Arabidopsis thaliana: one gene and its partners. The protein of the gene in region 1 interacts with the protein of each later gene in a pairwise test. Each region holds a gene or a part of one and is shown in the gene's direction. Other genes may lie near its edges.

Region 1 (3,756 bases):
AATGGCAACCTTGTTGTGTGGATATTAGTGCCAATCCTAGGAGTACTCGTCATTCTCTCTATATGTGCAAACACATTCACCTACTGCATTCGGAAACGAAAACTACAAAATGGAAGAAACACAGATCCTGAAACAGGAGAGAATATGTCCATATTCAGCGTTGATGGCAAATTCAAATACCAAGATATCATCGAATCAACAAACGAATTCGATCCAACACACCTCATCGGAACCGGAGGATACAGCAAAGTCTACAGAGCAAACCTCCAAGATACAATCATAGCCGTTAAACGACTACATGACACAATAGACGAAGAGATATCAAAGCCAGTTGTGAAGCAAGAGTTCCTAAACGAGGTAAAAGCATTAACAGAGATCCGTCACCGCAACGTTGTGAAGCTCTTCGGCTTCTGCTCCCACCGCCGCCACACATTTCTGATCTACGAGTACATGGAAAAAGGAAGTTTAAACAAACTCTTAGCCAACGACGAAGAAGCTAAGCGACTCACTTGGACCAAAAGGATCAACGTCGTGAAAGGTGTGGCTCACGCTTTATCGTATATGCACCATGACCGAATAACACCGATCGTTCACCGTGATATTAGCAGCGGAAACATCCTTCTCGATAACGATTACACAGCTAAGATCTCCGATTTTGGTACAGCAAAACTTCTAAAGACGGATTCATCAAACTGGTCCGCCGTTGCTGGAACCTACGGCTACGTTGCACCAGGTAAATCTAAATCCCTAAATCTGATTTTGAGCTTATGAAATTTAAATCACTAAATTCGAAATTGAACTTGATTTTTCGCAACAGAGTTTGCTTACACGATGAAGGTGACGGAGAAATGCGATGTGTATAGCTTCGGGGTTTTGATACTCGAATTGATAATTGGGAAACATCCGGGAGATTTGGTATCGAGTTTGTCTTCGTCTCCAGGAGAAGCTCTGTCGCTAAGAAGCATTTCCGATGAACGTGTATTAGAACCACGGGGACAAAATAGAGAGAAGCTCTTGAAGATGGTGGAAATGGCTTTATTGTGTTTACAAGCAAATCCAGAATCTCGGCCAACGATGTTGTCAATCTCCACTACATTTTCTTAGAAACTGAACTTCTCCATCAATTTCTATGTTATCATTGTGTTTATCTATACAGCAACAGTAATCTCTGTTGGCTTTTGTTCTCTGTTCTTGCTTGTGTTTGCAGGAAGGGGTGTCGACTCTCGTTTCAGCTTTTGTTGTTGTTGTTTGGGCTTCTCGGCCTGCTTCAGCTTTTGTATGTATTGGGCTGCGCCCTTGTTGGTCTTTGGGCCTTGTTTGTTTTTATCTTTGCGGCTTGCGTGCCATGTTAGGCCTTTTGGTCTTGTAATGTGTTTGGTTAATGGAAATCTATGAAGTTAAAAAAATGAAAAAAAAAAAAAAAAAAAAAAAACTGTTAAAAGCATTTTTAGATAATGGTCATTGTGTTACTCCTCACATATGAACATTCAAATAAAGTTTTGGATACTGTCTATCTGTATATCGCCAGAATTAGTAAGAGATTTCTTATGCATAGTAGGAGATTAAAAAAAAAAATGCATAGTAGGAGATTTGTAAAGAAAGAAATAAGTTTTTTTTTGTATAATGAGTTCTAATGGACATCACGTTTGCAAGTGATAATAAAAAAATCTTACACTCTTGTACTCTGTAACGTGTTAAAATAATACAAAATGGATTATAATAACGAAATCTAAACACTTATAATCTTGCGGATGATTTTGTGACAACCAATGAAACCGTTAATGCGAGATTACGATAGTTTTTTATGAAATCATGATTTGTGCATAAAGTTAAGCAAATGCTAAATAATTCATAAAGTGTAAGAAACACGTGGCAGAAGAATTAATAATTCGTTTGGGATATTTTTGGTATATACGGACAGGCCACGTCGTGTCCTAAACCTCTTAGCCTTTCCCTTTATAAGTCAATCTTGTGTCGGCTTCGACTCCCAACATACACAAAACACTAAAAGTAGAAGAAAAATGGCGACTCTTAAGGTTTCTGATTCTGTTCCTGCTCCTTCTGATGATGCTGAGCAATTGAGAACCGCTTTTGAAGGTATAATAGTTTCATGATTCTTCTTGTTACGTTCTCTGTTTTTGTTACCTTCTTGTTTACATGATCAGTATCCACTTTTTGTAAAAGTGATGTGAATCTGTTGGTTTTCGTTTGGTGGGTTATTGTATGATCATTTGTTTTGATTGTTTTTCATGTGGATCGATCTTTGTTTTGGTCCGATGATATGAATGTTGTGTCGGTAGCGTTTTATGATCATTTGTACGATGATGTAGATCGAGATTGTTCCTTCATGGATCGGATCAGTGACAATGATCTCCTTTCTTTGTGTGATCTATAACAATCTTTTGTGTTAGTGATGAAGTTTTGATTGTCTGATCATGTTGATAATGACAATGATTACATTCACACGAGATCTTGATTGAGTTGTGTTTTGATTCTCACTGTCACAGATCTGTCTTCTTAGTCTAGATCTATAATGTAGTTACGTGTAATACAACACTAAGATCTTAAGATTTATATTTTGTGAATCTGTTTGACCGGTTCTGTTATTATGGATCTGAAGTGTGTGTGACTTGGATCTGAAGTATGTGACTTTGATGGTTATGTAAAGTGAATCTGATTCGTGTTTTTCGCAGGATGGGGTACGAACGAGGACTTGATCATATCAATCTTGGCTCACAGAAGTGCTGAACAGAGGAAAGTCATCAGGCAAGCATACCACGAAACCTACGGCGAAGACCTTCTCAAGACTCTTGACAAGGAGCTCTCTAACGATTTCGAGGTTCGGTTTTCGGACTTTTAAGTATCGACTTTTAAACATCTTGTGTGAAGTCATTGTATTCTAATTGGTTTTTTGGTCATGGACAGAGAGCTATCTTGTTGTGGACTCTTGAACCCGGTGAGCGTGATGCTTTATTGGCTAATGAAGCTACAAAAAGATGGACTTCAAGCAACCAAGTTCTTATGGAAGTTGCTTGCACAAGGACATCAACGCAGCTGCTTCACGCTAGGCAAGCTTACCATGCTCGCTACAAGAAGTCTCTTGAAGAGGACGTTGCTCACCACACTACCGGTGACTTCAGAAAGCTTTTGGTTTCTCTTGTTACCTCATACAGGTACGAAGGAGATGAAGTGAACATGACATTGGCTAAGCAAGAAGCTAAGCTGGTCCATGAGAAAATCAAGGACAAGCACTACAATGATGAGGATGTTATTAGAATCTTGTCCACAAGAAGCAAAGCTCAGATCAATGCTACTTTTAACCGTTACCAAGATGATCATGGCGAGGAAATTCTCAAGAGTCTTGAGGAAGGAGATGATGATGACAAGTTCCTTGCACTTTTGAGGTCAACCATTCAGTGCTTGACAAGACCAGAGCTTTACTTTGTCGATGTTCTTCGTTCAGCAATCAACAAAACTGGAACTGATGAAGGAGCACTCACTAGAATTGTGACCACAAGAGCTGAGATTGACTTGAAGGTCATTGGAGAGGAGTACCAGCGCAGGAACAGCATTCCTTTGGAGAAAGCTATTACCAAAGACACTCGTGGAGATTACGAGAAGATGCTCGTCGCACTTCTCGGTGAAGATGATGCTTAATCAATCAATCCTCCACAGAGAAACATAAGCTGCTCTACAGCTTCTGTTATCTCTTATCTCCCTCTCTCTCTCTTTGATGAGTTTCAAATCGTTTGATTT
Region 2 (3,756 bases), on another chromosome or scaffold:
TCATAAGAACCATGGAGAAATCTAGCGTCGGAGAGAAATACAAACACACAACAGAGAGAGAGAGAAAGAGAGAGCTTACATTGTGAGATCAGAGCGAGAGCTTCCATCCAGAGAGAGAGAGTGAGAGCTTATATAGATGGTTTTCCGAATATATAGTGTGTGAGAACGAAGAACCATCTTTTGTTTTTTTGTTTTTTTCTTAAGTACTTTTATATAAAAACACGAGAGAGAGAGAGAGAGCACGGAGAAGAGGGAGAGAGACAGAGAAAGCAATGGTAATGATCGGAATATGGTGCACGGCGGTGATGATCGGGAAATGGTGCACGGAGGAGAGAGAGAGAGCTAAAAAAAACTTACATAGTAGTACATGAAATTTAATTGTTTATTTTTTGGGGTTTCTATGAAATCGTAGAAATATTATTTTATTAAATATGAAACTTACAATAAATATTATTTTCTTTAACCTAGAGAAATAGTAGAGATACAAGTGGATATTGGATATAAATACCTCTTTATCAAAGACATTTTATACAACACACATATCAATATTAATAATACAACGGTTGATTAAAGTCAAAAACAAAAAATCCCAACCCAAATTTTTTTAAGTTCACATATGTGTAGTTTGTTTAGCGTTTCAGAATTCTTTTCAAACCAAGTAATCCGACTTTATTTTTAACTGACTCGTTTTTTTAATTATGTTTTGGTGTCAAAACTAATCAACCCATGGAAAGTATCAACCCACATATGTGGTTTAGCTTTTTCATAAATATACATTTTAATCATTTCTTGTTTAGTTAGTGACAAGACATGTTACTTGTTTGATGACAAATATTTGTATCTCCAATTTCTAAATCTTTTAGCCAAATGAAATTATATATTTGACCAAAAAAATAAAACTAAGAAAAGTGAAAGAGTATGGGGGCATCAGAATCTCTGTCATGTGAGTACTATTTTTTGAACAAGCTAAGTAACGTCTTGTATCTATTTGATTTTTTTTTAGTATCATATAGCACGAGTGTCTTAATGAAATCGTTATTAGCTTCAATAATACTAAATAAAATGTTTACTTTCACAATATGTAACCGATTAAATTCGTAAATATTTTGTACGAAGAAAGGATCTCACTCGATAAATTAGTAATTACTATAAATTAATTATTTTTTTAATCTCGAGTGAGATCAATGTAGTATTTAACATAATTTAATAAAATAATAATTTGGTTGGAAATATAATGTAATTATATAGTCTAGTAATATTATAAATTAATAATCATTATCATAAATTAATATAAACTTATCAAACATCGGAAATTCAGATTAAAAAAGAACAAAAGTTTAGTTGTATTATTAATTATTAAAAATTTAGACGAAGGTATACTAGTTTTGTAATTCTATTATTATTACTCTATAGAATTAAATTAATAGTCTATAGAATGGTTTGAGTAAACCGAGAAATGAGAGAGAGTTCTCCTTGAACCAAGGATAATCAATAATTGATTCCCGGTTTATTCGTAAAATTAGATTCGTATCACCGAAACCAATTATATTCGCAAAATTAAAATCCGATCAACATAAACCGGTCGGGCAATTCCAATTTTGATGCTCCGTTTATTGAGCGTTTATTGATCTGCGACTGCGAGATCCATCTTCTTCTTCTTCTCCTTCTTCTTCTTCCAACGAATGTTCCTATGATCTCTGTGTATGAACAGAATCTGTAATCAGATCCATTGTAGAGAGAGATAGCCATTTCAATTCGAGGTAGCCAAAGATGTATATGGCTTACGGGTGGCCGCAGGTGATCCCGCTTCTACCTGGATCGCAGCGAGTCGTGTACCTTAAGCTCGCCGGCCGGCTATTACTGGTCGTTTCTCCGTCTCACCTGGAGCTTTGGGGTTCTTCTCAGGTGCTTTATCATCATCTCTCTGCATTTCGTAGTAATTGGAGTCTAGAGTTGGTTAACTTATATAGCTTTTTGTTTGATTTTCCCGCAATTAGCAACGAGTGAGGTTGGGAAAGTATATGAGAGATGACAAGTCGTTGCGAGAAGAAGGAGAGAATTTGCAAGCTGTGTGGAGTCCAGACTCCAAATTGATTGCTGTTCTTGTAAGTTCTTAGTCTCACTCTTTTCCTTTGCTAATTTCTGCTAATTGTTTAGTCACTATCAATCTTTATCCAGCTGAGAATTTATTGAATTGTTTATACAAAATCTTGTTATTGGATCTTCTCCAGATTGTTCTTTATGTGTAAGGATGAGAAAAAACATGTTTTTAGGTTTGATTGGTTGATGATTTCAGACATTCTAAAGCCTCTAATTTCAGTAGTATCTTATTTGAATCGTTTGATCAAGATGCATGAAAATTCGGAACTTGTGAAAAAACCAGTTTTTTGTATGTCTTCTCACCAATTATTTTTTGATTCGCAGACATCATCGTTCTTCCTTCATATATATAAAATTAAGTTTACCGATAAAAGAGTAAAACCCGGAGAGAGACAACCCTCGGAGTTGTGTTTTGCAACCATATCTCTTTTGCTAAGTGAGCAGGTCCCTTTTGCTGGCAAGGACTTGTCTGTGTAAGTGCTTTTTCTGTACGTGTCTCTGCCGTGCTCAACATTTGCCGTAGGAGTCTACACAGTTAAAACTCTGGGATTATAAATGTAAGGCCAATTCTTTCTCTCTCTGCAGGAGCAATTTTGTTAGGGACAGCAAAACTATGCTTTTGGGACTCTCCGATGGATCTTTATATAGTATTTCCTGGAAAGGAGAGGTAATGTACATCTGCTTCATCTGCATTGTTTGTTCTTGGGGTTTTTGAATTCTTTGTGCAAGATTCCTGATTTCTCATGTTTTGTTTGTCTTTGTAGTTTGGTGGAGCTTTCAGTATTGGCTCCCACCCTTCTGCTAGCAACGATGATAGACTCTTGTCCTACACTCTTGGTAATGGGCTAGTCTCTGGAGTAGCTTCACCAACACTTGCATCTGATGATAAATTCTCTACAAAACCGGCTATTGTTCAGCTGGAACTTTGCACTCGTTCCAAGTTATTGTTTGTGTTAAATTCGGATGGGCAGCTAGTAGTATGCTCTGTGAATAAGAAAGGTTTAAAGTACACTGAGAGTATTAGAGCTGAGAAGAAGTTGGGTGGTGATGCTGTTTGTGCATCAGTGGCTTCAGAGCAACAAATTCTTGCTGTGGGTACAAGAAAAGGGATGGTGGAGTTATATGATCTGTCACACTCGATCTCTCTCTTGCGAACAGTTTCTTTGCATGACTGGGGGTAAGCAACTTGTTACTATGAAAAGGGATGGTGGAATTTTGTGATGAACCTTTATTTTTTAATATTTGTTTTGAAAGGTTTGAGTATTACTATTCATCTGAGTAGTTTTTATTGTGGTGTTGTGTAAAGACCATAATATCATACTTGTCATACTACAACTGGAAGTTTATACGCCTTTGGTAGTTTTCAAGTTGTCTTACTGTGATTTATTTCATGCCCTTGATATTTTGGCTGCATCGTTAATAAAACTGTTTTAAAACTTGCAGTTATTCAGCGGATTACACTGGGCCTGTAAATAACATTGCATGGACGCCTGATAATTCTGCTTTTGCAGTTGGGTGGAAGTCGAGAGGACTTGCAGTTTGGTCTGTTTCTGGATGTAGATTAATGTCAACTGTCCGCCAAATTGGACTGACTTCTACATCTTCCCCTAAAATTAATCCAAAACAAGACTGTAAATACGAACCACTGATGAGTGG
Region 3 (3,756 bases), about 12 Mb from region 1:
CAAGTGACCGGAACCGTCGTTGCTCCGGAAGATTATAGGACCTTTGGCAATTCCGGTTCCTGGATTCTCTTCAACAAGGTTAACAGATTCTCACTGGTCGGTGGGACTTTTGACGCTCGAGGTAGTGGGTTCTGGTCTTGCCGGAAATCTGGCCAGAATTGTCCTCCCGGTGTTAGGGTACATATGCTTCTCCTCTATCTATAGTTATTGTAAATAAAAACAACAATCTGACATTCATACATAAGCGCCACCAGAATGCAAAAGAGCAACAAATAGCTTTAATCATTATTGATTAGTAATAACTAAATAAGTCAATATATTTTTTTTAATAGTCAAATAACATATCTTTATTCCAATCATTTACTTACGATTAAAAAAAAAAAGGAATTAGTTGATAGTTTTCAACTATATTAATTCAGGCACATTTAATTTTCAATATGATCTATCCATGCCATTTTTAGGAATTTATTTTATAAGCATATAATAACTATTATGATAATGATTTTTGGACAAGGAAATGGATTCTTTGGTCAAAATAAAATGAAATATTTATAATCTTATTATTAATCTATGGCGTTTATATATTAATTACTGTAGTCAATATCGTTCAACTCCGCAAAAGACGTGATCATAAGTGGAGTGAAATCGATGAACAGCCAGGTTAGCCATATGACCCTCAACGGTTGCACCAATGTGGCCGTCCGTAACATTAGGCTGGTGGCTCCCGGAGACAGCCCAAACACTGACGGCTTCACCGTTCAGTTCTCCACTGGAGTCACATTAACCGGAAGCACCGTTCAGACCGGAGACGATTGTGTTGCTATCGGTCAGGGGACCCGCAACTTCCTAATTTCCAAGCTTGCTTGTGGCCCAGGTCACGGGGTTAGGTATACACCACCGTCTAATTCCTTAGAGTAAATTATGTAAATATATCATTAATTGTTAGGAATCATGAATTTCCAACAAAAAAAAAACTAGCAATATTGCCTTCACTCACTCTGGTCACAACTCATATGATGATGTGATGACTGGCAGCATCGGGAGTTTGGCAAAGCAGTTAAACGAAGACGGAGTAGAGAACGTGACAGTATCGAGTTCGGTATTCACCGGATCACAAAACGGCGTGAGGATAAAGTCATGGGCGAGGCCGAGTACCGGATTCGTTAGAAACGTCTTCTTTCAAAATCTAATCATGAGGAACGTCCAAAACCCTATCATAATCGACCAAAACTATTGTCCGTCCAACCAAGGTTGCCCTACTGAGGTATATCCATATCATATTTTTGATCAATTTCAGACTAATCAAATATGCTATATCAAATTATCAACTTAGTCAAATAACTAAAGATTTATTATGTTTATGGTATGTATTAGCATTCGGGGGTGAAGATAACCCAAGTGACGTACAAGAACATACAAGGAACTTCGGCGACGCAGGAAGCAATGAAGCTGGTGTGTAGCAAGAGCAATCCATGCACGGGAATCACATTACAAGACATAAAGCTTACTTACAACAAAGGAACTCCTGCTACTTCCTTGTGCTTCAATGCTGTTGGGAAAAATCTTGGTGTTATTCAACCTACTAGTTGTCTAAATCGATGAATTTATTTGGGGTTAAGATGATATCACTGTGAAATGTTATTAGGAAACTGATTTTTCAAATAGTTTTCTGTAACAAGGTATATGATCACCAATTTCTGTAACATACAATTTTTTTTTTTTTATTAATAAAATATTATTTTCAGTAACCAACAAAGTGGAAGACTTTGACTTGTTGTCACCATCACATTGTGCTTTTGCTTTTTGGTCTTTGATTTGGACAACAAAAATATAAAGAAATTAGAGAAAAGAAGCTTTAACTGGATATAAAGTTTTAAACTGGAGATAATTGACATAGTAATTAAGAATTTGTTGCTTCAAAACTCAAAAGAAAAAGTAATCACTAATATTACTAAAGATTTTGGAAGTTTAGCGAAATTAATAAAGAAAACAGCTGAAGATGCAGTCACTCATCACAGTCTCTCTCTCTATCTCTATATCCTGAGAATCTTACATGATTTGCCCACAAAAAGCATTGAGATTTACAAATCAATCTATTGGGTTTCAGCTACACTCTACTGAAATCAGCTGCAACCTTTTTTTTTTTTCTCTCTCTTCTTTCATCACATCGGTTTGAATCTTTACAAGAAATCTGGAAATCACAGGGAAGTCAGGGTTTTCCATTTTCAAGCTGGTTCTGTTATTACGAAACACGGGTTGCTGGAAAAGAGCTCACGGATTCTTCAAACAAAGTTGGCATCTTTCAGATTTGGGAGAAAAAGTTGTTATTCAAGATCTTTGTGTAATCTAAGGGAGAAGCATACCATGAGTTCTCTGGTTCCTGTTATGGAGAAGCAAGAGAGCGTTCGAGGTAACTCTGTGGAGGAACAGCAGAGTCTCAGATGCGTTGGTGCAGAGAATCAGGTGAGAAAGGGAAGAGCTTTGGACAAGCAAGTTAGTTTCCTAGCTGTGAATGTTGTTGAGAAACATGGAATCAAAGGAAGAGCAATGGAGAAACAGGAGAGGGCAATGGAGAGGCAGAGAAGCTTTCGTGGGTTTGTTGAGAAGCAGAAAAGCTTTAGGGTAGTAATGGAGAGACAGTTAAGTTTCATGAATGTTGGTGGTGAGAGGAAGAAGAAGACTGACTCACCTGGTAAAAGAGGAGATTCTCCTCTTCATCTCGCAGCTCGAACGGGGAATTTGGGAAAGGTTATGGAATTGATTCGAGCTTGTAACGGCATTGAAGAGTTGAAGGAGTTGTCATCAAAGCAGAATCTAGAAGGAGAGACCCCTCTTTATAGTGCAGCAGAAAATGGGCATTCATTAGTTGTTGAAGAGATGTTGAAACATATGGATCTTGATACTGCATCAGTTAAAGCTCGCAACGGTTTTGATCCTTTCCATGTCGCTGCAAAACAAGGCCATATTGGTAAATGAAACTTTAGAGAATCTGATAATAACTTGAAGACCTTGTTATTGTTGTACACCTTCTTGACATATATCTTTGAATGTGTGCTGTCTTTTGCAGAGGCATTGAAGAAATTGTTGGAGACATTTCCGAATCTGGCTATGACGGTGGATCTATCGTGTACAACTGCATTGCACACGGCTGCTTCACAAGGACACACTGATGTGGTGAATCTTCTTTTAAAGACGGATTCTCATTTAGCTAAGATAGCTAAGAACAATGGTAAAACCGCACTTCATTCTGCAGCGCGAATGGGGCACAGAGAAGTGGTTAAGTCTTTGATAGGTAATGATGCAAGCATCGGGTTTAGAACTGATAAGAAGGGACAAACAGCGCTTCACATGGCTGTCAAAGGTCAGAACGAAGGGATTGTTCTTGAGTTGGTGAAACCTGATCCTGCGATTTTGAGTGTTGAGGATAGTAAAGGGAATACGCCGTTGCACACTGCCACAAACAAAGGCCGTATTAAGGTATCATCATCGCTAATTCCCCCTCCCCTCAGTTTCTCAATCTACAAGAATTCTGATGAACTGCATTTTGCCTTTGCTTGCAGATAGTGAGATGTTTGGTATCATTTGATGGAATTAACCTTAATGCTATGAATAAGGCTGGAGATACTGCACTTGATATAGCCGAAAAGATTGGAAATCCAGAGCTTGTGTCGGTTCTGAAGGAAGCAGGAGCTGCAACAGCTAAAGATCTTGGGAAGCCTCGAAACCCGGCTAAGCAACTTAACCAAACGGTCAGTG

What was found.
Region 2: the proteins of ANNAT1 (region 1) and AT3G61480 interact in a two-hybrid assay, tested with the Arabidopsis thaliana proteins (one large-scale study listed by BioGRID).
Region 3: the proteins of ANNAT1 (region 1) and AT1G05640 interact in a protein complementation assay, tested with the Arabidopsis thaliana proteins (one large-scale study listed by BioGRID).

Annotation. Positions count from the first base shown.
Region 1 is NC_003070.9:13,223,283-13,227,038, forward strand, and holds the start of ANNAT1 (annexin 1), read left to right. Parts: upstream 1-1,885; 5' UTR 1,886-2,021; coding exon 2,022-2,097; intron 2,098-2,693; coding exon 2,694-2,839; intron 2,840-2,925; coding exon 2,926-3,657; 3' UTR 3,658-3,756. Other genes in the region: AT1G35710 (kinase family with leucine-rich repeat domain-containing protein), read left to right, coding at 1-733, 818-1,104.
Region 2 is NC_003074.8:22,748,208-22,751,963, forward strand, and holds the start of AT3G61480 (Quinoprotein amine dehydrogenase, beta chain-like; RIC1-like guanyl-nucleotide exchange factor), read left to right. Parts: upstream 1-1,572; 5' UTR 1,573-1,770; coding exon 1,771-1,905; intron 1,906-1,997; coding exon 1,998-2,105; intron 2,106-2,424; coding exon 2,425-2,573; intron 2,574-2,685; coding exon 2,686-2,767; intron 2,768-2,864; coding exon 2,865-3,277; intron 3,278-3,543; coding exon 3,544-3,756.
Region 3 is NC_003070.9:1,688,110-1,691,865, reverse strand, and holds the start of AT1G05640 (Ankyrin repeat family protein), read left to right. Parts: upstream 1-1,910; 5' UTR 1,911-2,364; coding exon 2,365-2,968; intron 2,969-3,067; coding exon 3,068-3,477; intron 3,478-3,560; coding exon 3,561-3,756. Other genes in the region: AT1G05650 (Pectin lyase-like superfamily protein), read left to right, coding at 1-177, 598-887, 1,036-1,264, 1,375-1,602.